4 linked regions of the Struthio camelus genome follow. The protein of the gene in region 4 binds, or shares a complex with, the protein of the main gene of each other region. Links are inferred from orthologs where the notes say so. Each region holds a gene or a part of one and is shown on either strand. Other genes may lie near its edges. The genes, in order: POLR3F, POLR3K, CRCP and POLR3D.

What was found.
Region 1: POLR3D (region 4) and POLR3F share a complex: the UniProt entries of both Homo sapiens proteins name them as parts of the RNA polymerase III complex. The link is inferred for Struthio camelus from reciprocal best matches to the Homo sapiens genes POLR3D and POLR3F.
Region 2: POLR3D (region 4) and POLR3K share a complex: the UniProt entries of both Homo sapiens proteins name them as parts of the RNA polymerase III complex. The link is inferred for Struthio camelus from reciprocal best matches to the Homo sapiens genes POLR3D and POLR3K.
Region 3: POLR3D (region 4) and CRCP share a complex: the UniProt entries of both Homo sapiens proteins name them as parts of the RNA polymerase III complex. The link is inferred for Struthio camelus from reciprocal best matches to the Homo sapiens genes POLR3D and CRCP.

The regions. Positions count from the first base shown.
Region 1 is NC_090944.1:146,895,356-146,903,075, reverse strand, and holds the start of POLR3F (DNA-directed RNA polymerase III subunit RPC6), read left to right. Parts: upstream 1-4,695; 5' UTR 4,696-4,742; coding exon 4,743-4,798; intron 4,799-5,108; coding exon 5,109-5,226; intron 5,227-7,311; coding exon 7,312-7,379; intron 7,380-7,720. Other genes in the region: DZANK1 (double zinc ribbon and ankyrin repeat-containing protein 1), read right to left, coding at 799-952, 1,610-1,718. UniProt on the Homo sapiens protein: DNA-dependent RNA polymerase catalyzes the transcription of DNA into RNA using the four ribonucleoside triphosphates as substrates.
Region 2 is NC_090956.1:19,330,897-19,336,694, reverse strand, and holds POLR3K (DNA-directed RNA polymerase III subunit RPC10), read right to left. Parts: upstream 1,076-5,798; 5' UTR 1,055-1,075; coding exon 944-1,054; intron 862-943; coding exon 774-861; intron 689-773; coding exon 561-688; 3' UTR 509-560; downstream 1-508. Other genes in the region: SNRNP25 (U11/U12 small nuclear ribonucleoprotein 25 kDa protein), read left to right, coding at 1,095-1,208, 1,304-1,394, 1,797-1,902, 2,014-2,088, 3,150-3,204; RHBDF1 (inactive rhomboid protein 1), read right to left, coding at 5,314-5,733. UniProt on the Homo sapiens protein: Core component of RNA polymerase III (Pol III) which synthesizes small non-coding RNAs using the four ribonucleoside triphosphates as substrates. Can mediate Pol I proofreading of the nascent RNA transcript.
Region 3 is NC_090957.1:15,565,597-15,573,147, reverse strand, and holds the start of CRCP (DNA-directed RNA polymerase III subunit RPC9), read right to left. Parts: upstream 3,044-7,551; 5' UTR 2,975-3,043; coding exon of another isoform or gene 2,967-2,974; intron 1,103-2,966; exon of another isoform or gene 963-1,102; intron 57-962; exon of another isoform or gene 19-56; 5' UTR 1-18. UniProt on the Homo sapiens protein: DNA-dependent RNA polymerase catalyzes the transcription of DNA into RNA using the four ribonucleoside triphosphates as substrates.
Region 4 is NC_090968.1:5,467,406-5,475,057, reverse strand, and holds the start of POLR3D (DNA-directed RNA polymerase III subunit RPC4), read left to right. Parts: upstream 1-4,630; 5' UTR 4,631-4,709; coding exon 4,710-4,877; intron 4,878-5,539; coding exon 5,540-5,583; intron 5,584-5,915; coding exon 5,916-6,067; intron 6,068-6,170; coding exon 6,171-6,298; intron 6,299-6,382; coding exon 6,383-6,554; intron 6,555-6,724; coding exon 6,725-6,996; intron 6,997-7,068; coding exon 7,069-7,224; intron 7,225-7,503; coding exon 7,504-7,626; 3' UTR 7,627-7,652. Other genes in the region: PHYHIP (phytanoyl-CoA hydroxylase-interacting protein), read right to left, coding at 568-732. UniProt on the Homo sapiens protein: DNA-dependent RNA polymerase catalyzes the transcription of DNA into RNA using the four ribonucleoside triphosphates as substrates.

The sequences.
Region 1 (7,720 bases), on a different chromosome or scaffold from region 4:
ATAGCGATAGCAGAAAATACATAGAGGCCTTTTTTCCGTGTCTCCGCACAAGGACTATAATGTTGTTTCATTGCAATGCAGACATAAGCAAAGGCTACCTGCAGGTGCTAATAGTGCGGGAGCAGTAAGCCCAGATCCCCAGCTGGAGCGGAATTTTATGCTCCCTTGTAAATAGAACATAAAAATACAACAGGGTACAGTCAGAGAATGCATGTGTCCCCATGGCCTGTGTCTAAGTGTGAAGTTAGCTGGAAGAAAGTCAATGATCAAGTTCTCTTTCTACATGTTATATTTTTACTTTGCTTTTGTGTGTGCTACATTGTACTTACGCTGTGAGGCCTAGTATTCTGCGCTCCTTTAGGAGAAGCTGAGCACGTTTCTCAGAAGACCACTTCTATAAATCTGTTGAATCACTGGATGTTTCCTGGCCTCAGAAAGCATCATACCAGCTCCTCTAGCATTTCTGATGATCATACTCACATGGAAGAACTCTAAGTACAGTGTATTTTACCAGCCCCTCACCCACAGCCTTCATGGATCATTGGCCTTCAGCCAAGGCCCAGGAGAAAACATTGTAGAGATAATCCAGCTCCACAAACACTTAATGATTAAAAAGTGCTATGAGAAAGTGAACACAGTGAAAGGAATCCAGGAAGATCACTTAGACTGAAAACCGGCTGGGGCAAGAGCTGCCCCTCATTCCCCAGGTACAGAATGCTTAGAAAAACACAGCTCCACGCCATGACTGGGATGTCCAGTCCTTGCCCCAGTACTACTAAAATAAAACAAGATACCTACTTTGTAACTGCCAATGCCTTGACCATTATTTTCCCAACTGGTAACATGATAGGTTGCTTATACTCAAAAGTATTATGCTCTCCATAGCTGGGTTTCCTAATGAGTTCTGGCTTACTTCCGTCTAAAGTGTAATAAATAGTGACTGCAGGTGTATCTGAAAGACACGGAGAAAGTTATTATCCAAATTATATTAGAGCTGGGCAAAATAAGCTCTACACCTGGAAATACTCACTCCTATGTTTGATTTTTCTCACATAAACAAAATCAAGGAGTAAATGATTGAAAGTTCAGGACCAAAACTATTTCTCCCATGAAATGCTGGTGACTAAACAAACAAAATGTCATTACAAGCAATATTTCTTTTCATAAAGTAGTCATACACTGGTTTTGTATGAAAACAATGCAACAACTTGTCTGTTCTAAAGACAGAAAAAATAATTTCTCCCATGATGAAAGATGGAATTTCAAAAACCGTAAGGAACACTTTCTGAGTGAGCCAGGCACATCATATTTTCAAGTCCTGGTTTTGCAGTCACAGCAAAATACAACAACTTAAGAGCTTGATCTCGGAAGCAATTAAAACTGCGAACAGGTATGAACTCATATATTATGACAATAATATTGCTTGAATGCTAAAAGTTAAGTGTATATATTTGCAGTTTCAAAACATCTAGGTTAATTTTGTGAGTTACTTAAGGAAGTGGAAACTCACAAAAATCATAATTAAATGTAAACAAAAATATAGAGGCTAAGAGTTTCAAATGATCACATAAGGAAAAGTTTTACACAGAGTCAAAAGTGTTATTTATACCTGACTTTATTTCTACAAGAGTATTTGTGTCTATTTCATGTTTAGCCTTCCCTGGAAGAGGGATTCGAAGAGGTATGACCTGAGGAACTAAGACAGAACCCGCTGTCATTTTTCTCAGCAAGGATCTTTAAAAAAGAACGAAAAACAAAAAAGCAGACAATTATTTTTCATAACACAAGAATGCAGTGAGAAATGTTGCATTTTAAAGAGATTCCTCATCCTGGTTTGTTTCCTTGAAAGAAAGAACACTGAATTCCTTGAAATACTAGTTCTCATCAATATTTCTAAGGTTTTCACACTGAAAAAGAATAAGATGCTATAGACCCATCAAACTTTCGACCTATTGTCCTATTACAGGGCTATGAATAGGGCTTGAGATGAGCACTGTTGCTTTTATTTCAGTTTGGCCTTCTCTGCTTGAATTTGAGGGCCACTTACTCAGGTGAAACAGCTTTAGCATCATATATCTTATACCATGCCAGGAGAGAATAACTGTGAAGCATCTTCACCCTCATCACTGAGATATGGTGTCATTTTCTCTACAGGAGGAACCAGTCCCTTGTTTCATTGTGGCCATCCAAATGTATGTCAGTGAGATGCAAGATGTCCCGAAAAGGACTAAAACAAGACAGCTATTCCTCAAGCTTGCCTCACCTGTGGTATACTTTAAGCATATACCTATCAAGCAGGTGCCATACATGATTTATCATAGCCTTTATGTCACTGAATTCAAGAATGAAAAGTTACGTTTGGATACGACAGCGTTTTAGAATACAAAAAGGATGTACTGCAGGTCATGGGAATTGATATTCACTGCCAGAAAACATGTCTACACTGGAAGCATTTCGTTTTGTAACTGGCCGTTCAGTCCTCCCGCAACGTCTCTAACACTAACTCATCAACGTAGATAGTAATGACTGAGTACAGAAGGAGTTCACGGATCTATGGGCTCACAGGGGCTACACTGAGATAAGCCAAAGTGCTATCTGCAGCTGCCCATCACCTCGGCTGCACTGCCTGTAACGGCTGGTGTAATGAGTGTGGGCAGTTCTCAGCCAAGCCGTTGGGCCGCATGCTGTGGCACAGGTGAAAGGATGATGCATGGATCCGCTCTTTACCTGACACGAGGGGGCAGACACTAATTTTCTCCGAGTACCTGACTGCTCTTGCCACACCTAGACCAGAAGCAAAGCGCCCTGTTTCAAGCCTGTGGCAGCCCACGATGGGTGGGATAAAGAGTGAGTTCCCATGGGCATCGCACCGTGACGGGGCTCCGGACCCCGCTCCAGCACAGCACAGCCCCTTGCTGCACCCCGCCGTGTGCCGGGCCCCGCGTTCCCTCCTTTCACTACGCAGCCCTGCCCACCCCACTGGATCCCCACTACGCAGCCCTGCCCACCCCACTCGGTCCGTGCTCGGCAGCCCCTGCCCACCCAGCTCCATTGCATCCCACAGCCCTGCCCTCCCCCTCCATCCCTGCTATACAGCCTCCCCACCTCCCCTTCATTCCCCCTGTATAGCCTATAGTCACTGCACTCCCAGCAGATCCCCACTATACCGCCCTGCCCTCCCGCTCGATCCCCTCTGTACCGCCCCGCGTACCCGCTCGATCCCTGCTATACCGCCCTGCCCTCCCCACTCGATCCCCTCTATACCGCCCTGCCCTCCCCACTCGATCCCCTCTGTACCGCCCTGCCCTCCCACTCGAACCCCGCTATACCGCCCTTCCCTCCCTACTCGATCCCCTCTATACCGCCCTTCCCTCCCTACTCGATCCCCTCTATACCGCCCTCCCAGCAGATCCCCTCTATACCGCCCTGCCCTCCCCACTCGATCCCCTCTATACTGCCCTGCCCTCCCAGCCGATCTCCTCTATACTGCCCTGCCCTCCCCGCTCGATCCCCTCTGTACCGCCCCATGTACCCGCTCGATCCCTGCTATACCGCCCTGCCCTCCCCACTCGATCCCCTCTATACCGCCCCGCGCACCCCCTCGATCCCCTCTGTACCGCCCTGCCCTCCCACTCGATCCCTGCTATACCGCCCTGCCCTCCCTACTTGATCCCCTCTATACCGCCCTCCCAGCAGATCCCCTCTATACCGCCCTGCCCTCCCCACTCGATCCCCGCTATACCGCCCTCCCAGCAGATCCCCTCTATACCGCCCTGCCCTCCCCACTCGGTCCCCTCTATACTACCCTGCCCTCCCCCTCGATCCCCTCTGTACCGCCCTGCCCTCCCCCTCGATCCCCGCTATACCGCCCTCCCCCTCGATCCCCGCTATACCGCCCTGCCCTCCCCCTCGATCCCCGCTATACCGCCCTCCCCCTCGATCCCCGCTATACCGCCCTCCCCGCTCGATCCCCGCTATACCGCCCTCCCCCTCGATCCCCTCTATACCGCCCTGCCCTCCCCCTCGATCCCCTCTATACTGCCCTGCCCTCCCCACTCGATCCCCGCTATACTACCCTGCCCTCCCCCTCGATCCCCTCTGTACCGCCCTGCCCTCCCCCTCGATCCCCACTATACCGCCCTCCCCCTCGATCCCCACTATACCGCTCTCCCCGCTCGATCCCCGCTATACCGCCCCGCGCACCCGCTCGATCCCCGCTATACCGCCCTCCCCCCTCGATCCCCGCTATACCGCCCTCCCCCTCGATCCCCGCTATACCGCCCCGCGCACCCGCTCGATCCCCGCTATACCGCCCTCCCCCCTCGATCCCCGCTATACCGCCCTCCCCCTCGATCCCCGCTATACCGCCCCGCGCACCCGCTCGATCCCCGCTATACCGCCCTCCCCCTCGATCCCCGCTATACCGCCCTCCCCCTCGATCCCCGCTATACCGCCCCGCGCACCCCCTCGATCCCCGCTACACCGCCCTCCCCCTCGATCCCCTCTATACCGCCCTGCCCTCCCCCTCGATCCCCGCTATACCGCCCCGCGCACCCGCTCGACCCCCTCGTCCCTCCTCGCGCCCGTTACCACAGACGCCGCGAGCCCGGCCGCGCCCCTCGCCCTCTCCCCTACCCCCGCCGCCGCCGATTGGCCCGCGTCCCGTTGCCTGGCGACCGGCGCCTCACTGCGGCGCGCCGCTCCGGCGTCATCGCCGCGCGCCGCGACCCGGCGGTGCCGCCATGGCGGAGGTGAAGGTGAAGCCGGAGGTCCCCGACCCGGTGGACATAGAGAATAGGTGCGCCCTGGGCCCGGCCCGCCGGCGGGGAGCGTCGCGTCGCGGGTGGGTGGGGCGGCGGCGGCGCCCGAGGCCCAGGGGGCTGGTCCTTGCCTGGGGACACCGCGCGTGTCGTGCTGGCGCAGGGGCACAACGAGGGATGGCGTCAGGTTGCCTCAGCTCCCCCCCCCTCCCCCCCCCGTTGCCTTTCCCAGTCCTCGGGAAAACTCTGTTCTTTTCCCTTCTCTTCCGTCGTGGTTGCAGTAACTTTGCGCCTTTGGTTGCCGCTGCAGCGGGGCCTGGTTGAAAATTTGCCTTTCTCCTCCCCCAGGATCATTGAACTGTGCCATCAGTTCCCCCACGGCATCACAGACCAGGTGATCCAAAATGACATGCCTCACATGGAAGCCCAGCAGCGAGCCATGGCAATCAACAGGCTGCTCTCAATGGTAGGGCCATCTTGGCTTCCAGTGCGCTCTGCATACACATAGGCTGCATGGTAGAAACCCGTCGGGCAGGGCTAGCAAGTTTTCTTTGGATTTAGTGATGTGCTCAAAGGTTGCCATAACCAATTAAAACATGCCTCAAAACTTAATAGTTTCCACTCTGTAATACAAGATTAACATGGATGTGCATATTCACATGGATTTCTAGGTTTAAGAGGCTACCACTGAGAAGTTCCGCATTTGTTTTTAATATTTTTCTCAAGAGTAGATGTGTCTAGAGTTCTGTGGTCTTTCCCCTGTGTATCAGTTTGTATGCAAAGCAGAATGTGATACAGTAGTGTAATATGAGAGTCCTGAGTGCAGGTGTAGCAGCAGTGGCTCAGCAGGTGATAAGACAAGCAGACATGGGTGATAATGACAAAGCCCTGTTAATGGTGGGGAAAGAATTAGCTAGAAAGGAAAGAATGGATATTGGCCTGTGCTGTTATATGTGAAGCCCTTCACCAAGCCCCTCACAAAATTGCAGGATTGTGGATTACTCTGATGACAAATAAGCAGGTGAAACACCTCAAGGAGTTTTTGTAACTCCTAGAAGTTTCCTACATCTCACTATGCATTTCCCTTTATTTTATCAGGACCCAGCTTAAGATAAGAGTGAGGATCACAGCCAACTACTTCTGCCACATGTTCAGGAATAGATAGAAGCTGTTGAGTCTTGGTTCTACGTGGCATAAACTTGAATATCAGCTAAGTGTTCAAGGTCTTAAAGATCAGGATTCCGTTCAGTTCCTTTGATAGCTGTTTCATACGCACATGGAGACTGGGTGGTGCAATGGAAAGCACTGTAGCGAAAGAAAAGCAGTATCTGATGCTATTGCGGTGGCGTGTGTCAGCGAAAGGAGGGGCGCTTGTACCCTGGGAAAGAGGGGTGGTAGAAAGTATCCGAACTGAGCAAGTTTCTTTTTGGGTTTGTTTGTTTGGTGTGGGGTTGGGTTTTTTTGTTCTGTTTTGTTTCTTTTCATAAGCAAAACTTCTTTAACTGGAAGAAAAAGTGCATGGTGCTGGAACTAATCTCTCTCTCTTTCATCTTTCTGCTTATAGATACGAGGTTTATAAGCACAGTAGATAAGAGCTTGTATTCAACCACTTTTTAATGGGTTGGCCATGTTTCACAGGGAGGTTTCAATGATAGTTAAGTCTCTAGAACTTATTTAAAATAGACACCTTGGGAGTGTGGGGAGAGATCCAGTAAGTACCTTAAGCATGGGAAGAACAGCAGTGAGTGCTAAGCCTTCATAAGCATCAGGGACTTCACATGAGATAAGACATAAGCGCTTTACCTATGGAAAAGCATCGAGTGGGATCATGTTGAGGTGTGAGCTCCAATCAACCACATAATGCAAATCTATAAGAAATAAGGCTGTTACCTATGAGGAATGGATTAGCTAGCAATGAAGGAGTGAATATTAAGCTAATGCTATTATATGCATTTATGTTCTTGGGCTTGTCTAATTGCTTGCCTCTTTCTTCAAAACAGGAAGTAAGAAATTACTTGGCTCAGTCAGAAGTCCAGGATAGGATACACCTTGTGTGTGAGAGATGCCAGTAATTTGTCTCTGAGAGTTATTGGCAGTCCTGACTGGCAGTTTCCCATTGGTGGTTTTTTTTTTTTTTTTAACTAAAGAAAGAACTTTGTTACTGGAAATCAGAATTTTTCAAATCTATTGTTCATTAGAGCTCTAACTTGATTTCTGGATTGCCATAGAAATGAGCGTTTCGGTGGAAAGCAAGAAAAAGGCATACGAGAGCTTGATGTCCTTTGTGCAGTGGCGAAAGCTAGCAAGCGCATAGAGGTGGGAAGAGGCTGGAACTGTATTTATTATTTCTAATAGCTGAGGATAAATGGATAGTTGCAGGAAAAAACACCCCGGAGTGTATTGTTTCTAGTGGTTGGAAATGTTAGTTTTCCCTTTCTTCACGCAGTTGACATTAAATAAGGCTTTATACTTTAGAAATGGTTTAGAAGATTCTTGCCATATTCTGAAACAAGATATTTGAAGGAAAATAATGTGTGCCTGTCTCTCCTAGGGACAACTGGACCTGCTCAGGAGCAATGCCGGTCTCCTATATAGGATCAAAGAGTCTCAAAATGCAAGGTAAGCCTCATATTTGTTGGATAAATGTTTGGCGCACAATTCTGTACTTCACGTGCCGCACTGCTGAGAAGACGCTCTGAGAAGTCTTCACTGGGATGATGGCTGTTACAGAATGTAATTGCTCATTCCAGAAGGGTATACTTAATTGCCCTGAGCTGATCCTGAAAACTGTTTTAGGTATAATGCTTTCTACTGAACAGAGGTTACTATGGAGCTAGAGCTCTCACTTGCTAGCAGAGTTCCTGATCTGGCAATGTGATCTTTGCAAACAAAGGCGTATGCTCAAGTGAAATCCAGTTGAAGTACAGTCTGCAAACGGTGGTTCTGTGGTCTTCCTGCAT
Region 2 (5,798 bases), on a different chromosome or scaffold from region 4:
CCTCCTTCACCTTTGCTATGGCCTCTGTTCTATCACCCACCAGACAGACCCAGGCTGCTGTTTGATGACTATTACTTGTAAGAAAGATCCCTGCTTTTAACCTTTACCTAGACTTCTCCGTTAAGTATTTTAAGCAATGCTTTAAATATGTGTTGCATGGTAAGCACAACCCAGGCAGAGCATTCATTTCAGTGAGTGCGTTTATAGCAGAACCACGGTGATTTGGAGCAAGGAGGGCCTCATGGGCCCGTCCTGTCCCAACCCCCCTGCCCACCCCACCACCCACCCACAGAGAACGTCACGTCGGGGCCTCTGAAGGTCCTTTTCCGAGACGCGCGGCACTGGTGGCCCAGGGCCGAACGACAGCTTTTCGACCACCACCACACGACGACCACGCTGTTCCCATCCACGGGCAGCTTTATTGCAGGAGAGCGCGGCCGCCCCGCGCAGGCCTCGGCGCGGCCGGCCTGGTGTTCCCGCCGCGGGGCCGCGGGCGCCGGCCTGGGCCCGGGGCCCGGGGGGGGGCCCGGGGCCGGGGCCGGGGCCGGGGGGGGCCCGGCTCAGTCCCGCCAGCGGTGGCCGCACTGCGCGTTGCAGCACTTGTAGAAGGTGGTCATGGGCTCGTCGGCCGAGCGCGTCTGGATCTGCATGAAGTAGGCGCGGGGGTGCTCGCACTTGGGGCACGGCTCTGCGGGGCCAGGCGGGCGCCAGGTGAGTCCGAGCGGGCCCCTCGCCGCCGCCGCCGCCCTCCCAGCCCCGCGGCCCGGCCCTACCGGCGGTGGAGTCCACGTTCTCCCAGGCCGCCGCGCCGCCCAGCACGTCGTCCACCTCCTTCAGCTGCGGGTACTTCCTGCTCGTCACCTGCGGGCGCGGCCGGTCAGCGGGGCCCCGGCCTCCCGCCCCCCCGCCCCCCCCCGCCGCCCGGCCCGCCCCCCCGCGGCACCTTGCGCGTTACGTTGCGCACGTAGGGGCAGGTGGTGCAGGCGAAGCGGTGGCACCGCGGCCCCTCCTCGGCCACCAGGACGTTGCCGCAGGCCGGGCAGAAGAGCAGCATCGCCGCTTCCGTGGCGCCGCCCGCCCCTTCCGGCGCGGCGATGGCGGCGGCGGAGCCCGAGGAGGAGCTGGCGCACGCCGAGGTGCTGGAGCTCTTCCAGGCGGCGCTGGCGCGGCTGGTGCAGGACCCGCTGCTCTGCGACCTGCCGCCTCAGGTGGGGCCCGCGGCGGCCGGGGCGGGGCCCGGGCGGGGGGGGCGGCGCGGCCCACGGGGCGCGTCGCTCCCGTGTCGCGGCGGTGCCGCCCGCAGGTGACGCCGGAGGAGATCGGCTCGCAGGTGGCGCTCGAGTACGGGCAGGCCATGACCGTGCGCGTCTGCAAGGCGGACGGCGAAACCATGCGTGCGTACCGGGGGGGGGGCCGGGCCGGGGGGCCGGGGGGGGTTGGGGGGGGCCGGGCCGGGGGCGAGGCCGAGGGAGGTTGGGGGGCGGGGTGGGGGTTGGGGGGGTTGGGGGGGCCGGGGGAGGTTGGGGGGGCCGGGCCGGGGGGCCGGGGGAGGTTGGGGGGGGCTGGGCCGGGGCCGGGGCGGGGGGAGGTTGGGGGCCGGGGTGGGGGGGGTTGGGGGGGCCGGGGCGGGGCGGGGGGAGGTTGGGGGCCGGGGTGGGGGGGGTTGGGGGGGTTGGGGGGGCCGGGGGAGGTTGGGGGGGCCGGGGGAGCGGGGTGGGGGGGGCCGGGCCGGGGCCGGGGCGGGGGGAGCGGACAGGCCCCGCTGAGCCGCCCCCGGTCCCCCCCGGCCCCCGCAGCCGTGGTGGTGGTGCAGAACGCCTCGGTGCTGGAGCTGAAGAAGGCGCTGCGGCGGCACGTGCAGCTGCGGCAGGCGCGGCAGGGCGGCGCCCAGCACCTCAGCTGGTGAGCGGGGCGCGGGCCGGAGGACCCCCCCCCCCCAAAACCCCACCTCGGTGGCCTTTCCAAGGCGGGCAGTTCCTCCTGCCGCCCGCCCTGAGCGTTTTCCCTCCCCAGGAAGTACATATGGAGGACATACCACTTAACCTACGCTGGAGAAAAGCTGGCAGACGACAGGAAGAAGCTGAGAGAGTGAGCGGGCGTCTGCGGTTTGCTGGGGAGGGATGGGGACGAGCTGGAGTCAAGCTGTCCGGGTAGCCCGCAAAGCAGCTGCACAGGCAGGGATCAGTCTGGGCTGCTCTGCTCTGGCTCACTTAGGTTCTGCACCACCCCCCCCCCAAAATAAAAAAAAAAAATCACTGCGAGGCAGGGCTGGCATTTCAGGCGATGCAACCGCTCCGCCGCTGACCGACTGGCCGAGAGGCCGCCTGGGCTCGTTCCCCAGCCACAGCTTGTCCTGCGCTGAGAGCATCCCGTTCGCACCACATCTGGCCCCCCCCGTATCACCCTTTGGTGTCCATGCCAAAACTAAGGCAGAATAGGTCATGTTTGCTCAGTTCTCACCTTAGGTACCCTGCAGAGACAACACGAAAAAAGTATGGCTGAGAGGTAAGGCAAGTAGCAGGCGGAGAAGGCAAAGAAAGGCTGGTGTCACGCGCCTGATGCACATTAGTTCAGAGGACCACATCCATTCGTGTCTGGGGAACTGGTGTGTGTGTGTTAATGGAAGCGCACGGAGAGCAGCTACCAAAGGGAGGATGGGGACAGGTCACATCACATCACGTGGGGGAGGGCATCCAAGGTGGTCTGAAGGAGGCAATCAATCAGGTGGAGTGTTTGGAGTCGTGGAATCACAGCATGTGTTGATGTGGAGTGATCTAGTCCAACACCCCTTTTGGGGGTGGTGGTGAGGAGCAGGAGCTGTCTCAAGTAATATAAACAAATTTAGCAAGCAGGAAAAAGCCCTAGAAAGACAGCCGTAGGTAAGGAAAGCTGTCCCTGAAAGATCGATCTGTGGGTGATAGCTGTTACGCTTGGGCTGTGTTGCAGTTTAAAAGGTAGATGATCACATCTTGGAGTCCTGGCAGGATGTTCTACTCACGCAGGTGAGAATTCGACTTTGTCCTGCATTAAAGCACAGCACCTGAAAGTATGAGTCCATCTCCCCAGGGGAAAGAGGAGGCTAATAGGATGTCCGTCAAAGGTGGTGGTTCCTGGGGAATTAGCATGTAACAGCATCACTCTCTGTTCAGGTATGGCATTAGAAACCGCGATGAGGTCAGCTTCATAAAGAAACTTCGAAAGTAACTTGTCAGGTAAGTCCTGAAAAATCCATTAAGAGCTACCAGAGCATCCTCCTTTTCCCAGGGCTAGTGCTAATGCTTGTAGCAGCTGATATTGCTGCTCTCCACTGCTTAGCAGAGCATTCCTAAATGCCCATATCTGCATTAGGCACACAGCCTGGCTCTAGTCCATTTCCACATTTTGGTTTTGTAGCCTGTGCCATGGATGCTAACGCAGTGTCTTTATAGCATTGCTGCTGCTCCTGAAATGGTGTATCTTAGTGCTGACAATGGCTTATCTCTAACCTTGTCTTGCATTTGGATTCTGAATCTGCTCCCACAACATCCTGGGACTCATTAAATGCAGTGCTCCTTTGCCCTTACGACTGCTTCTAGGATGCTGCTTTCTTTTAGGCTTCATCATTTCTGGAGCTCACTGTCAGGAATGCGGCAGGCTGCTAACTAATCCCTAGGAGAAAGAAGGGCTCTCTGTGCCTACAGGTGATTGCCATCACCCAGCTCATTTGATCCTTCTTTGTGTCTCAGACTATCTCCAGACAGAGCAGAGCAACTTTCTCCCGCTCTGCTCCTAGCTCCTTCCTGTACCATGCAGAGCACCTGCAGTTAACAGAAACGTCCATTGGGTGTACATAAGTAAATGCAACAGCAAACATAGCATGTTCTCCACTGTTCCACAGAGGATGTATTTTGAGCCCTTTTCCTGCAAGCTAGAGAAAAGAGAGACGTCAGCTCATGTCCTGTGTTTACGTTCTCAGTTTCTCCATTTTCTAGTTTACAGAGACTTGAATTCAGCTGATTCATTGTCCTGCGAAGCCGGGCATGCTGCTAGAAAACTTTCGTTCATGGTATTTTTGTGCAACTGATGCATTTAAAAATGCTTCCAACACAGGAAACATTATACATGTATATTTATCTCCTTGTAACCCATGTGGACCTCATGATTCCAGTATGAGGCTGCCATTTTTTAAAAAAAAAGTTATGTACACATAAATGCATGGTGTGGCCAAGATTCTCAAGCTTAGTAAGTTTAAACTTGTGTCAGCTTCCCTATTCCCCCCATCTAAAAACACATCTAAAACTCTGAAAAGCAGTGGTATCATCAGCTTTTCCAAATGCCTGTTTGTTCATTTTGTTTTGTAACTCTTAACTGGCTGGGTTAGAAAATGTTATTTTGCCACCACAGTGGCTTTTTTTTTCCCCCCTCTTTCAATGCTGCCATCCTCACGGTATCCACCATAAGAAAACGTGTGCCCTGACAGAGGAGCTCTATCTATCTGCCTCGAGGTGCCTACGACCACTGGTGGGTCACCTGTGGCAGTAGCTGATCCCCATGGACAGCCTAGGCCAGGTATTGCATGCTGGACTCTTGTATTACCACAGTAACTATTGTCCCTGTCACACCTTTTCTTTGTTTAACAGATAAAAGCAGATAATCCAGCTGTACCAAGACCATTCTGTGGATTCAGCACCTTCCTAGAGGAAAAGGTTGTAGCATTTCAAATGGAAACAGACTCAGAGTCGAATGGAAACTCTCAGATGCCACAGCTTCTGCAGTTGCTGTTTGAAACATCTGCCTCGGAGCTGTATGCTGTGTCCCTTTTCAGGGATTAAAGAGACGATGTGGTTTTCTGAAGCCTTTATGGCCCTTATTTCATTTCCACCTGCAAACCCATGTCTGGCTATGGTTGGAGTGCTAGAAAAGGACTTACCTACCCTACAGGGGCAGGAAACAGCATAGAGGAGAAAGTAACAAATGTAGCCACAGACTACGCAGAACAATTAACAGTAGCTAAAACGCTACCTTTCCATTTAATCACCACCTTAGCAGTAGTAAACAACTCTAGTTAAAAATGTAGTATTGAAACTAGTGTAATAAAAATAATGGCAGCAGAAAAGGTTCAATACAATTGAACAAGGCACAAACATTCTGTTTTCAGAGTCTTCTGAGATAAGGCAAAACATGCCTGCCAAGTGCTAAGGAGACAGTTTAAATTAACCACGGGCAGGGTTAGAAGTGTCATTTGGATTAGAGGCTCTGTCCATACGGAACCAACACAGCAAATGCAAAGACAGTCCATCTCCAGTGCCTGCTCGAGAAACAAGTCTTTGCCTTTCAGTGGAGCTGTGCATCCAGGTCGTATTTCTCACAGAATTTGTCTGTGAATGGTATACACGTAAGGAACTCACACCACTCACACTTGATGGGGTAGAAATAGAACAGAATCACAAGTCCTGAGAAGAGTGCAATGAAGATGAGCTGGAAAATTATAATTTGGCATCGCTTCCTATACAAGTCAAACTTCCCAAAGCTAATGTAGGGCAGGAAGGCAAAGGAGAGGAAGAAGCCACTGATAAATCCTGAAATGTGAGCAAAATTATCAATCCAAGGCAGGAGGCCAAAGGCAAAAAGAAAAAGCACCACTGCCAGCAGCTTGAAGAAGGCCCTCCATGGGCGTGCCAGGATTTGCCAACTCTGGAAGAGCTCCACAAAGAGACAGGCCAGAATCCCAAACTGGGATCCTGCAGGGCCAACCTGCAGAAGAAGAGCATTATGAGTAACATCAGCCACATGCCACCTGCCTGGCTTCTGCAGCCAGC
Region 3 (7,551 bases), on a different chromosome or scaffold from region 4:
CTCTCTCTACGGAAATCCCTATGGATCAAGGACATTCTCTGTTGGAAACAATACTGCTGCGGAAGAATTAAATATATAGAATCATTCAATTAAACAAGTGAGATGATCATACAGAGTCAACAATTTACCGTGCAAGAATCAGAGTCTCTGGGAAACTGATTTTAAAACTCTGGAAGACAATTGCTTCCTTTATAATCGTGTAACATTTTGTCTCTTAGAAAAATGCCTATTTTTCTGTAACATTGGATTACAAACATGAGCCCACTTAAATCTCAAATCTTCAAGAATTTTTGTTGTGCTGAAATATCAGAATTATAAACTAACAAGTCTAGTGTTTCAAAGACTTTTGTAGCATTTACAAAGCAGAAATATAATTGCTTTCTTCTGTCCTAACTCTCATAAATGCTAAAAAAAACTTTAAAAAAATCAAATTAAGAAAAAATTATAAAGAATGAATTCTAGTAGTGTATATTTTTAAAATAGACAGCTAAACAGTATGCTTGGCTTTTATGAGATTAAGGTTTAAACAAAAAAAAAGATAGGAAAACGCGATGTTAACACTAAATCTGTAAACACTACACAGCTATTACTGCTCCAAATTTTTGTTCAAAACATTACTGAGACTGTCTTCTCCACGCAATATCAAAAAGTAGCTCAGTGCACGGTATCACATCTTCGAAAATACCACCGGCACCTCCTGTTTTAAATCTACTGCTGAAAAATGTTTTACATTTAAACTAAAGCATTTTGCGGAGGTTTTTTTCCCCCCCCCTCTAGTAACAGATACTTCTGAAACGGTAAGGCCTTAGGTAAGGCAGGTTTTCCTAGCTGCAGACTGTCCCTTTATGAAGGGGCTGCCAGGCAAGAGGTACGCGGTAGGGAAGCACAAGATGCGATTGCAACGGCAATTCAAAGTCCAAAACGGACTAGATTGCTCAATTTTGACGCAAGGGTCCACTCACCGGTCAGGACTTTGGGGCCCAGGTGCACCTTCCTCCTGGTACTAAAAGAAGTAGCACCATTAAAATAACTTGGGGTTTTTACTACTCGGGGTAGTAAAAATCAAGCAGGTGCATAAGCGGCACCGCAGACTTAAGAATTAATGGTGCCAAAAGAATCTTCTTCAGCAGGGTAAATCCTATCTTTCCCCACGCATCTTCGAGCCTGGCTGTGCACCCGTTTCACAGCATTTTGGGGGACACAACGGCAAGAACGGGGCATTTCCCTGCAGATTGTTACTCACGTTAAGGCCAATGGGGATACAAACTAATATTTTGATGACTGCTTATTATCTACTTTTGAAGTGTAGCACATTTAATGATAACAAAGCATCCACGGATAGCATGAATTGCAATAGCGCAGGTAACGTTAGCGGTGCTGACATCGGGGCCAGGCCGGCTGCTCTTCCTGCCAGCCACGGCGGGCTGGCCAAAAGCTAGACCTGCCGCGGGCATTTGCGCCCGCCCGCTGTGTTTGCTGCTTCTCCCCGCCAGCACGTTCTGCTCTTCCCATCAAGGGTTTATTTGCCCTTCACAGAAACTGTTCTCAGCCTGCAGGCGATTCTGCAGGCCATTCGCCTTGCCTTGTTTTGCCAGGCTTGCCTGGCGGGTGATTAAAAAAAGAAAGGAAAGGGAGAAGGCTGCATGCAGGCACGTCCCACCAGGCAGGAGGGGAAGGGAAGGAAGGGGGGATGCGGACCCAGAGCAGGATTAAAACTAAGCTGCAATGTCTTTTTCCCAAATAAACGGACGTTTCAGCAATATTTGCAAAGCAAACGGAAAACCTCAGCTTCTCGTCAGAACGCCCAAACGAACGCGAGGCATCGGAGGCAAAGGCCCAACTGAGGGGTACGACGGCCCCTAGCACGGCCCCTGGCCAGGACCAGACGCCACAGTGGCCATGGCGCTCCCCGAACGGGGCGCGCTCCGGGAATTCTTACTGGGTGCAGCGGGTATATTGCCCGGCCCACACCCCCTGCGCCAGGGCCCACGCACGTCTGCCCCCCCAGCCCCCCGCGCCAGGGCCCACGCACGTCTGCCCCGGCCCACACCCCCTGCGCCAGGGCCCACGCACGTCTGCCCCCCCCCAGCCCCCCGCGCCAGGGCCCACGCACGTCTGCCCCCCCAGCCCCCCTGCGCCAGGGCCCACGCACGTCTGCCCCCCCAGCCCCCCGCGCCAGGGCCCACGCACGTCTGCCCCGGCCCACGCCCCCCGCGCCAGGGCCCACGCACGTCTGCCCCCCCCAGCCCCCCTGCGCCAGGGCCCACGCACGTCTGCCCCCCCAGCCCCCTGCGCCAGGGCCCACGCACGTCTGCCCCGGCCCACGCCCCCCGCGCCAGGGCCCACGCACGTCTGCCCCCCCCAGCCCCCCGCGCCAGGGCCCACGCACGTCTGCCCCCCAGCCCCCCGCGCCAGGGCCCACGCACGTCTGCCCCCCCAGCCCCCCGCGCCAGGGCCCACGCACGTCTGCCCCCCCCAGCCCCCTGCGCCAGGGCCCACGCACGTCTGCCCCCCCAGCCCCCTGCGCCAGGGCCCACGCACGTCTGCCCCCCCCAGCCCCCTGCGCCAGGGCCCACGCACGTCTGCCCCCCCAGCCCCCCTGCGCCAGGGCCCACGCACGTCTGCCCCCCCCCAGCCCCCTGCGCCAGGGCCCACGCACGTCTGCCCCCCCAGCCCCCCGCGCCAGGGCCCACGCACGTCTGCCCCCCCAGCCCCATATACATATCCCCCCTATACACACACTACAGGAGGGCCCATACGCATACAACCCTCCCCCCCACACACACTTCAGGCAGCCCCACATATACCACCCCCCCCAAACACGCACACCGCGGGCAGCCCCATACACATACACCCCCCACCCCCCCCCCAGCACAGCCGCGGGTCCCAGCGGCCGTAACCCGCCGCGGGCGGGGAGGATCCCGGCCCCGGCCCGCTCCCGCCCCTCGCGCCCGCCGCCTCCTTACACCTCCATCTTGTCCCCGCGCGCAGCTGCGCGCTGAGGCCGCCCGCGGCCGCCGCCCGCCCGGGCACCTTCCGCTTCCCCCCGCGCGCGCCGCCGCCCGCTGAGCCACGGCGAGGGGAGCGCTGGGGAGGTCGGGGCTGAGCTGAAAGCGGTTTCGGGACTCAGGAAGGAGGAAAAATGGACAAAGAGGGAGAGAGGGAAGGGGGGGAGGAAAAAAAAAAACAAGAAACCAAAAAAGCGCAGTTGCATTGGCCGGGAATCGAACCCGGGCCTCCCGCGTGGCAGGCGAGAATTCTACCACTGAACCACCAATGCCCCCGGTAGAAGCTGTTTTTCCGGCCGCGCCCCTCTACCCGTGCGAGAGCGTTTTTGCACTGATCCTATCTCACTTTCGCAAAATCTTCACGGAGCAGTAAAAGACCTCTCGGGCTTTCACGAAAGTTTAAAACAGATGTGCCTGCTAGTCCCTCTGGATCATATAGAAAATTAGCATATAATACAGAATTACAGGCAACAGATCCTTTATGTTTTTAAAGGAAAGACAAATTGCACTTTTCCAGAACGGTAACTACCGTGGACAGAAAGCTCACTACAAAAATGATACGTGGGGCAAAATATGTTCTGAAAATCTATTTGGATTCTGAAAATTAGGCACTTTAGACATGATAACAATGAAAAAAAATTGTATTTTAGAGGTCCTTCCAAACCAAATTTCTAGCTGCGTGCAAACAGAACACTGTAAGCTGTATAATACTCCCTTTCCTCCAGTCGTCTTTGAAAACACCTGTGCATACATCTTCAGGCTCATTATATGTCTTTTTCCACCATCAGCCTGAGTCTTTCTCTTTTCTTACATATGCTACTACATTTTGCAAGAGCTCTTTTCACTCTTGAGAAAACTGAACACATTTCATTGAGTGCAAATAACTGAAAATCCCAATGGCTGCAGCAGGGATAATTACGTCTGCATCAGAGATTGAGAGCCAGGAATACATTAAATCACTTATTTTGCTATTGGCCCCTCAGGTAGAAGTTTATATACAAACACGACAGCAGTAACTCCCTACAGAATCACACATGCATGCTTGTTAAGAGAAATCTAGGGAGCCAAACCGGTTGGATATTTTGTGCCCACAAGCTCCCTCGCTTGTCCTGTGATACTAGCAGAAAATTCATTCACCCAGTTTTCCCTCCAGAATCAAGCCAGAAGAAGGTCCACCCTCAGTCTGGGACGTTGCTTCTCTCTGCGGTGTTAGAAATCCTCACCTAGCTCTGAAGGATGGGACCAAACTGCAGCGGTTCAAGGGCAGTCTTCAGTGCAAGGACAGCGGGAGACGCACTCGGGTACTTGGGTGTACCACCGCGATCAGGTGTCTAAGAGGTGGGCAAAGTTTAAAACCCTGCTGCAAAGGTTTTTCAGCCCTTTTCAGTTGCAGACCCCTGAAAAAGTGTCAGTGGATATGTGGGCCATGTTCACGTACACAGATTGTAGCACAGACGGAAATTAATTCCTGTTCCAGAATCACCTTTCATCAATCCTTAGGAAAAAGACCAAGGAGAAAGGTCTTCACACTGCAGACTGAAAGCCATTGGTCTGAATTAGTGGATAGGATGTGATGGATGCTGTCCTTTTTCATGTCAGGATTAACTGACCTTGTACTTGGGCCAAAACTGGCACAGCAAATGCTCTGTAACTTCTCTGCCATGCTTCAAACCTTGTCTGTGAAACTGCTTGTACACTTGCTCCCAGCTAGGTCAAAGCGAAGAAAAGAAAAGAAAGAATGTCAGCTTTCTTTCAAGAATATACTTCCAGACTCTTTTTCAGGGTTTTGTTCTAGAAATCCACTAATCCTTGTCTTCCCCTCATCATTCTCTTTAGACACGAGTTGAAAATCTTAAGCATATTAATTTTATTCTCCTTGGCACCTCCTCCTTATCTCTCTCCCCTAAACGCAATTTATCATCTACGTTTTCAGTGTTTCTCCAAAAGTCTCATTCCAGACCTTTGCTGATACACTTTTTTAGAAGCCCTGACGACCATGTCCCATCCCAGCTGCTGGGAAGAATAAGCATAATACACATGCCTCTCAGAATGGCTTTTGAATTTTTTTTCCAATAGAGACATATCCTTCCTAAATATTTTCCAGTGGAGACATACACCCTGTTGGCAATTTCACAAAAATAGACTGGCCAGAGATCCACTGACATCATGCAAGGGAGAAGAGGAATCTCTAAGAGAGAGCTCATTATCCATACCTACAACTTTTCCGGAGAGGTGGGATGATTAGCCGAGTTAACTTTGTTTTTAATGGTTGCAGTTTAGATGTTAGACAGTTATGCTACACCATCCATAGGGAATGCAGACATAGGTTTTCTAAATGTGCTTAGCATGTCAACATTTTAAGCATTGGCTTGTGATTGTAACCGCTAAGGCTTGGTGAGAGAGGGGCCTCGGTATTAACTATTGAAAGCAGGGGGCCTAGTAATTGCTATTGAAAGCAGATCTGCATGGTATTTGTATTCTTTGTCATGAAAGATGTTTACTGTATTCAGCATTTTGCTGATCACCCTATAGTGTCTTTTTTTCTTTTACATTCAAAATTCATTAAACAAAGTTGATTTTTAACAAAAAATGTCAGCACTGCTTCACAGCAGCCTAGCTGACAGTGCATTTGACTAGCACGTTCAGTCTATAGAGCTTTTTTCTTTTTCTAAACCAAAATGACAGTTAAAAAAGAATGTTTTTTAAAGATAGTGTAGAGCAGCAGTTTATGTCCTCTTCTTTCTTTACTGGACTCAGTTTTTACAATTAGTCCTACTATGAATAGTGTATTTCTAGAAATCCCTAAGGCTCTCCTTCAGAGCTAAACTCCACACGTATTAGTCTCTTTCAACAAAAAGGCACTCTAAAAGAAATAGTAAAGATGTGACCTTGATTACAAAAGCAAATACAAATAAAGTTTGAATCTCTGAGGACATTAAAATATATTTAATTAAACCTCTCCATGCTGCAAAAGGGGCAATTTACTCATTATCTCATAGTACATCAGCCTGGAAAAGAGTATAGATGGGAATATTAATGTATGACCAGCGAGGGCTGGCTGCTCCGCAAGGGAAGGTGAGGCAGGAGTAGAGTGCACTAATAAGGCCGGAGCGAGCAGTGACCTCACCACCAAGGAGATGAGATGCAGAACATCACCACCAGGTCAGGATCAGGGCCAGAGACAGCGGTGAGGGTCAGACACAGTCCACGGCTCACCTAGCAAGACTGTCGTGACAAGGCAGGTGCACGGCCAGCCCAGGAAGCCCAGCCAGGGGGTCCGGGTCCAGGTGAGACTCACGGAGGTAGGAGAGCAGGCGCAGACTTAGCTGCTGTGCGGCTGCCGTGTAGCACAGGCGGAGGCCAGCGGTAAAACCTCAGCTTCAGAGCAGTTCCCAAGGGCAAGGAGGGGCAGGCCCTCGCTTAGAGCTTTCTTCACGACAGCTCTTATCAGTAAAGGAGCTGACTTCCACTCAGCCAGCTAAACTCCAACTTAGCCAACTAAAGTCCTAGAAGGAGGATACACTGCAGGCCGTGATACTGTGTCCAGAATGGAAAATAAGTAGAACATACGGTACTTTTTCATCAGAACTTCCTTGGTATTTAACTATGCGTTGGGTTTTTGGGGGCAATTTTTCTATTTCACTAAGCAAATAAAAGCCTGAAAGAATAAGACAGGAAGTGGAAGTGGAAAGACAACAAAAACAGAACAAACAGAGAAGATAGTAATGATGAGAATACATTTCAGTGTGCATTAGAAGACCTATTTTGCAGTGCTGTTTCACTGTTTTCCCAAAAAACAGTTCAGCTCCCTGATGCCAAGCCTCTTTAAGAGATCCTATTTCATCTATAAATGGGAGAAGAGAGAATTAATACATCTCCTAGATACAAACTAGGACAGGAGTTAAAACAACATACTACAAGCAAACTAATCCCTATAAAATGTGTTAAGTACACAGTGAAACTGCTGACAGATGCCATGTGAAAGCATACATCCATTACTATGTATAATATCAGGCATAGATTAATAAAAATAAGATCATCTGGTAACAGCCACAAAAGGCTTCTTTCTTGCAAAACCAGATTTGGAGTCAAGGCATAGATTATGAAAAAGAACACGGCAGAAATCGAACTCAGTTGTCTCCCCTGAAAAATACTCAAGTGCACACGGCTGCAGATTCGTGTCCCAACCCCACCTCACAGCTTCCAGTGGAACAATTGATTTCAATGGCAGCAAGGCCAAACTCTAGGATACATAATCACGAATATTTCATATCAAGTCACTGTGTTACCAATCTCTGCCTGGAGCACCTGGGATCCCTCCCTTTCCCCCTTTTTTAGTTTGGGTAAGTCCTGTTCAATATCTTCAGACAGAAACACACGCAATCCTTACACAGGTTGTGTCCGAACCTTGAGCCTATATCACAAGCATCATGAAGCAAAGATGCTCTCTGTATATGGTCCATTCTGGTTATAAATTCAGTGCTTACTATTTTTGCAACACATCAGCAACCTTCTGTTAAAGCCCAGAATAAGGACAAAGACA
Region 4 (7,652 bases):
ATGCCCAGGCGCCCACCCAGGCGCCTCCGCCCCAGAGCCGCTGCCCAGCCTGGGGCCACGGGCTGCCCCGAGCCCCCCACCCCGCTCCCTGGGGTCCTGGGGACCGCCGCTGGACGGAGCAAATGGCCGTGTCAAGAGGCCACCCAGCAGCTCCGCAGTGCAGAGCCGTTTCTGTGGCAACAGCGAATGCCGAAGTCGGGAGATACAGGCAGGGAGAGAAAAAGAAACGATGATTATTGGGGAGGAAAAAAAAAATAATGTTAAACATTAAATAGCATCACCGTGGCAACCGTGCTGCTAAAAGAGTCCCGAATTGGTGACTCTCTTGCGGAGGGAGAGAAGCGCGAGCGGTTCGCACCGTCTCCCCCGTGCCGGCTCGGAGGGGCCGGGCCGCCCCCGCCGCGGGGGACCCCGGAGGGCTGCACCGCGCTCGCGGGCTGCGCGCCCCGCTCTGGCCCGGCACCGGCGGGACGTACCCCGGCCTCCTGCCGCTATCCCCAAACCTGCCCGTGCTGTGCATCGGGGCGGGGACCGCTCGGTCCCCGGCGTGCGGGGCCCCCGGCTCACCCGGTGCTTGAACTTGTTGGAGTTCTTGTTCTCCTTCTTGTTGAGGTCGATGAAGTAGTGGGTGACCCTCTCCAGGTCGCCCTTGTCCATGGCCCAGGAGATGCGGAAGGAGTCGCAGGTGATGTTGTTGATCTCGATGTTTTTGGGGGTGGAGAGCAGGTCCATGGCCGGAGGCGCGGGGGGGGCTCCTGCGGGCGCGGGGAGCAGCTGCCGGGCGGGCGGGCGGGCGGGCGCCCCCGCGGCGCAGCCGGCACCTCGCGGGCGGCGCGGCCAGCGCCAGCCCTCGCTCGGGCCCCGCTGCCGAGCAGATGGCGCTAGGGAGGGAAGGGGCCGGGAGCCAGGAACGAGCGGCAGAGCCCCGAGCCGGCCGGGAACGAGCCCTCTGGCGCGGCGTGCTGCAAAGCGGCTGCGGCCGGAGCCGGCGCTGCCCGGCACGCCGCGAGAGCCCCGGCCGGCGGTTCTCGCCGCCCCGGCTTTGCTCAACACCGGGTGGGGAAAGAAAAAACAAGAGGAGGGCCGGGCGCGGGCAGGATCGCGTGCGAACGGCTGGCAGCGGCTGGACGGGCGCCGCGCTCTGCCCGTTCGCTCGGGCCGGCTCCCCTCCCCGCCTGCCTCCCGCCCGCTCGCTCCGTGTCCGCGTCCTCTCTCCCCGCGCCCGCTGCGACGGCGCCTTTGCGTTTCGCCGAGCACGTGCTTTTATTGAGAGCTGCCGCCGGCGCGGCCCGCGTCTTTCCCGCGCTGCCGAGGTCTGGCCGAGCAGCGCGGCAGGGTTTACCCGCTCCGGCGCGGGAAAACCTCGGCGCTCCCGCATCCCTCGGGTCCCGTCGCCCCGGGAGGGCCGAGGGAGCCGGGGCAGGACACGACGCCGGGAGCCCGAGGCGGCGCCTCCGCTCCGGGCCGGGGCAGCGGGCCGGTCCCCACGCCCCGAACCTCCCCGGGAAGCCGCCGAGCCGGCGGGGCCGGCACAGGCCCCGACCTGCGCCGAGTGCGTAAGCGCTTCTGCCGCGGGCCGGGCGCGCTGGGGGACGCGCGGTCCCCAGGCCCCGGCGATGCACCGGCTGGGGGGTCTCGGCGTTTTTGCACGCCCCGATTCGCTCCGATCTCCGGGGCGGCCGCAGCGGGTGCCCGGCGCTGCTCCGCAGGCTGCTCCGAGCCATATTTAGCTCCGACGCAGGCGAGACGCCTGAGGAGCGCGTCGCAGGCTCGCGCTAACTTAGTCATGACTTGCCTGCAGCTCCCCCGCGCGCGCAGGGGCGGGCGGCGCGGGGGGAGGCGCCGCGCACCCCGGGCAGCGCCCTGCACCGCTCGGCCCCGGGCGCACGGGCAGGGACCGAAACCCCCCCGGGGGACGCGTCACAGCCGCGCTGCCCCTCTTGCAGCGGGGTTTGGCACCCGGCTACGCCTGGGGCGGGAGAAGCAGCCCTGCGAAGGCGCGCACGGGTGCACCGGGCACGGGCGCGTGCACGGGCAGAGAGGTGCCCTCCAGCAGCCAGCACGCAGGAGGCTCGGGCCGGCCCTCGGGGCACCTCGGCAGCGCCCGGGAGGACGGAGCAGGGGACGCATGCAGCAGGGCAGCCCCCCGGCTCTGCCCCCCCCCGGCCGTGCGGCCCAGGGCTTGCGTGAGCCCCGCAGAGAGGGGTGCTGGCCCCCCATCCGTGCCAGGGCAACCCGGGGGCTCCCCAGGGAGCGTGGGACCTCGGGGCTGCTCCGCGTGAGGCTGCCAACGCGCCCGCCGCCCCCCGCCTCGGGCCCCCTCCCGCTGCCCACGGTGCAGGGTGGTGGGGGTGCTCACGCATGCACACGCGTGCGCGCGGCCGCCCACGCGCTCCGGGTGCATGCCCGCAGCCCCCGCTCCCTCCCTCCGGCCCCGCCGCCCCGCGTCCGCCTGCACGCGCACCGCGCTTGGGGCGCCCACGCCGACGCGCGGGGGCAGGCGCTCCGGCGGGCGCCCACGCCAGCCCACGGGTGCTCCCGGCACCGAGCAGCGCGGCTGGCGCGGGCACACGCAAGACGCGACGGGCGCCTCCCGGCTCGCGCACCGGGCTGTGCGCGCGCCCGCTCCCACGTCCTTGCAGAGCCCGGTCGCCGCAGACCCCGTGCGCTCCCCCACGCCGGCCCCCAGCTCTTCCCCCCGCGGACAGGGGAAGGTCATTCCCTCGGGGACGGCCGAGCGCAGCCGCCCTGCCCAGCTTGCCAGGGCTCGTCGCCCCCTCGTCCCTCGCTTTGCCTGCACCGGTTTGGGAGCCAGGTCGCGTTTCCCGTGCGCCGCGCTCCCTCGCATCACCGAGCGCCCGTGTCCGCGGACGGAGCGCTGCGCCGGAGCCGCTCGCCCCAGGGCCGAGACGGAGCGAGAGGCAGGTGCAGGAGGGGAAGCCCGGTGCATGCTGCAGGGCGCTGCGTTCGCCCGGCTCCCGGCGCCGCCTGACCTGCGAGCGGCCTTACCTGCTGCGCAGGAGGGCTGCGGGGCGGCGAAGGGAGCTGGCACGGCACGGCACGGCACGGCACGGCACGGCAGGCTGCGCCGCCGGCACTGAACTTGGCCGCAGCGGCGGTTCAGGCTGCGACAGACCGCGGCGGCTCGTGCAGTTCCCGACGGATGCTCGTCCTCCTGCCTCCGGCTGCTGCTGCAACTGCTGCTGCTCAGATCCTCCCAGCCAGCTCCGAAATAGCAAACACCCTAAAGAGGAGGAAAAAAAAAAAAATCAAAGCAGCATGGAGGAGAGGGGGGAAAAACCCTGCTCTGCCAATCGGGTGTCAGGCTGCAAAGCATCAGGTGATGAGCAAACACGTCGCCTGCCTGCCAGCGGAGCGGGGACAGCCGTGGGAGCGGGAGGCGAGGCCGCGGGGGCGGCTGCGGGTGCGCGCGGGGCGGGGAGAAGGGACGCGCTGGGTGCCCAGCACCCTGGGGGAGGCAGGCCTGGCCCCTGGGCCTGCAGGGAGGTGGGCGGCAGAGCCTGCTGCCTCCCACCCGACCCCACCGCTCATGTGTGTGCACGCGTGTGCATGCACGTGCACATACATGTGTGTGCATGCACGTGCACGTGCATGTGTGTGCATGTGCACACACGTGTGCGCATGCACACACATGCATGTGCGTGCACACACGCGTGTGTGCATGCATGCACATACACACATGTGTGCATGCACACTCAGACACCCCCCCCAACACACAACTGGGAAACGGGTCAGGTCCCTGCTCTGGGCACGGGCTCACAGCTGGTGCGGGGATGGCAGGACGCCGGGGGCTCTGCTGCTGTGGTTGGGGGGGGGCATTGGGAGCACTGGGAGAGGGGCTGCCCCCGCACTGCCCCTGTGCTCCCCATCCCACGGGCCGGGCGCTGCCCGGCACAAAGATGGCGCCGCCGTCTTCCGCGTGGGGGGGGGGGGGCAGGCACTGCCCTACTCAAAGATGGCGGCCCCGCCCAGACACTGCTTCGGCGGGCCCGCAGCAAACATGGCGGCAGCGGCCTCCTTCCGGGAACCCCGGGCCGCGCGGCACGCATGCGCAGTGGGGGCCGCGCGCCGGCCGTGCCCGGGGTGGGTAAGGGGCCGGGGCGGCGCGGCGGGGAGGGCACGGCGGGGGGGTACCCGTGGGCGTGGGAGGAGTGAGCCCCCGGGCGTGGGGGGTGCAGAGGGGCGTGAGCACCCTGGGGAAAGGGGTTCTTGGCAGGGGTTGAGCACCCTGGGGTGAGGGGTGCATGGGGGGGTGAGCACCCTGCGGTAAGAGGTGCATGGGGGGGTGAGCAGACGGGGTAGGGGGTGAGCACCGTGAGGTAGCGGGGTGCGAGGGGGCAGGGCTGGGGGTGCATGTGTGGAAGCACCGTGGGGTGGGGGGGGTGGATGGGCATGGCTGGGGGATGCACGGGGGGGGGGTGAGCACCCTGCGGTAAGGGGTGCACGGGGGGGTGAGCACCCTGGGCTGGGGGATGTGAGGGGGGGTGAGCGCCCCTGTTGGAGGGATGTGAATGGACCCCAGGAGGGGAGATGATGGGGTGCTGAGCACCCTGGAGAGGGTGCATGGGTGCAGAGAGCCCTGGAGCGCTGCGTAGGGGGGGAACCCAGGTGCCTGAGCCCCCGGAGGTGGGGGGCCGAGGCTGCGGGCCGGCTGCCCCAACCCTTCCCCCTCGCAGGTGACCGCTGGGATGGCGGAGGGCAGCTCGGGCGGCGAGGGCGGTGGGGCGCCCGGCAGCCTGCGCCCGGGGCTGCCCGGGGCGCGGGGGCTGCTCGGGAGGCGCCCGCCGGCCCCCCTCAGCCCGGGGCGCCTGCCCTCCATCCGCTCCCGAGACCTCACCCTGGGAGGTGTGAAGAAGGCGAGTGTCCCAGTGGGGAATGAGCCCTTGGGGAGGGGGGCGCAGGGCCTGCTCCAAACCCAGCCCCTGGGAGGTGACCCCGGTCCGGGGTGCGCAGACCCCCGTCCCTGCCCGGGGGGCCTGCAGCGTCCTGCCCCGTTGCACGGCGGGGGCTTGAAGGGCCCCGGGGCGCGTGCTGCAGCCGCGTGGCGCGTGTGCCAGGCCCGCGGGGCGCGAGGAGGCAGCCTGGCGCCGCAGACCCCCTTTTCGGGGCGGGGGGCCCCCGGTCCGCCCGCGGAGACCGGGCTGAGCCGCGGCGAGGGCGTCCCTGGCGCGGCTCCGCGGGACGCACCGGGGCAGGTATGCCAACGCCTGCGCTGTCGCGGGCGGCAATGCAGCCGGACTGGTTCTGCACCCGCCTCCCGCTCCCGGGCACGCCGCCGGGCGCACGCCCAGCCCCCCCGGGGCGGCGTCGCTGCCAGACCCCGCGGCGGTTTGGGGCTGGGGGCCAGCCACTGTCCCCCTGCGCAGGGACCCGGCGAGAGCCCCGCCAGCCCCCCGCGCGCCTGCCGCTGCGCTCGCCCAGCCCCGGACCGCGTCCTGCAGCGCTGCCTGCTTGGTTTCTGTTGCTTATCTTTGCTGCCTCCTCGTGCAGTGACTTGTCCCTCTGTTCTTGCCTGCAGAAAACCTTCACCCCCAACATAATTAGCAGGAAGATCAAGGAAGAGTGAGTGGCCTCGCGAGCGATCCCTGTGCGGCGGTGTTGGGTTAAGGCAGCTGGCTTTGACCATGGGCCGCTGGGGACCTGCGCTGCGGGGTCCCGGCGTGCAAAAGGCACCTCCAGAGAGAAACCCGCTGCCGGGAGGCTGTGACGGGGCCGGAGCGGCAGCCTGTGGCCGGGCCCCGGCAGCGTGTGCCGTGTCAGGGGGGTCTCTGGAGGCCCATCGGGAGGGGGCTTGGTGGTGGCCAGGTTTGGCGCGCACGTTTGGGGTTGGGGAGGGCTGGGGCTGGCCGCATGGCTGCTCGGGGCTGCTGGGCTCCGTCCTCACCTCTCCGCAGGCCCCGCGAGGATGTCTCCGTCAAGAAGGAGAAGAAGGAGCGGGAGCGGGACAGGCAGCGCGACGGGCACGGCCGAGGCCGGGGCAGACCGGAGGTCATCCAGTCCCACTCCATCTTTGAGCAGGGCCCTGCTGAAATGATGAAGAAGAAAGGTAGAGCCGGGGATGGGGGGTGGGTCCCCACGGCCGTCCCGCACCGGGTCGGAGCTCTCCCCTGCTCGGGGCGACGTCCTCACCCGGGGCTGCCTCTCCCCAGCTGGCTCCTGGGACAAGACCGTGGACATGTCGGACTTTGGCCCTTCCCACATCATCAACATCAAGAAGGAGAAGAGGGAGACGGACGAGGAAACGAAGCAGATCCTGCGCATGCTGCAGAAGGACGACGTGAGTGGTGCCGGGGCGCCGCGGTGGGAGGTCCCCGGGCCGCCGGGACAGCGCTGACCGACGTGGCACCTCCTCGCCCCACAGTTCCTCGACGACCCCGGCCTGAAGAACGACATCCGGAACAAGCCGGTGCAGCTGCCGCTGGCCCACTCAGGCTGGCTCTTCAAGGAGGAGGCCGCCGAGCAGGAGGACGCCCAGCCCTGGCTCTCCGGCCCCAAGGAGGAGAAGATGGAGGTGGACTTGCAGGCGGTGAAAGGTGCTTGCGGGCGCGTGGGGCTCCCGGCGGGTAGCAGCTGGGGTGTCCCCGGGGTGCTGCTCGAGCTGGGAGCTGGGACGGGCTGGGGGAGCTGCAGAGTGCCCGGGCTGTCCTGCCCGCAGCAGGGCTGCCTCTGCTGCCCCGTGCCCACCTTCTTGCCCCGGTGCCAGTGAAAGAAGAGCCGTGTGACGGCGAGGACCCCAAAGAGGCCCTGCCGGCGACCAAGGCGGCGCAAGCCAAGGGCCCCCCCGGCTACCCCCGGGACATCCCGGTGGCGGAGCTGCTGCAGCGGCTGAGCCTGTCGCAGGAGGAGGAGCTGCTCTTCCTGCAGCTGCCCGACACGCTGCCCGGGCAGCCGCCCACGCAGGACACCAAGCCCATCAAGACGGAGCTGCAGAACGAGGAGGGGCAAGTGGTCGTGGTGAAGCAGGAGAAGAGTCAGGTGGGGGCCGGCGGGCGCAGGGGTCCCGCGGCAGGCGGGGTGGCAGCGCGGTGACGCCGGCACCTCCCTCAGCAGGAGGCGAGGCAGGCGGAGAACACCTGCACCCTGGCCGACCTGCCGGAGGGGCAGGTGGGGAAACTGCTCATCCGGAAGTCAGGAAAAGTGCAGCTGGTGCTGGGCAAGGTGACCCTGGACGTGACCATGGGGACACCCTGCTCCTTCCTGCAGGTATGAGCTGGGGCGGCCTTGGCAAGGGGTCAGGCTTGCATGTCACCCCGGGGGCCTGCTTTGTGTGGCTACGCCGCGAGGTAGCCCGCAAGGTGATTTGGGGGTCCCCGATGCTCAGACTGGGGCGGTGGGTCCTGCAGAGACCGTCGGGGTTGTGCTGCTCCTCAAGGACAGCTTTCAGGGAGCTCCCCGGCCTTAGTCACAGCACCTCTGTGATGGAGAGGGGAGGAAGGAGCTCACTTTTCATCCCCCTAACCCTTTTTCGTCCCCTCTGCGAAGGAGCTGGTGTCCGTCAGCATCGGAGACAGCCGCACGGGCGAGATGATCGTGCTGGGCCACGTGAGGCACAAACTGGTGTGTTCCCCGGACTTCGAGGCCCTGCTGGAGCACCGGCACCGGTAGCGAGGCGGGAGCAACGGGTCCCCAGC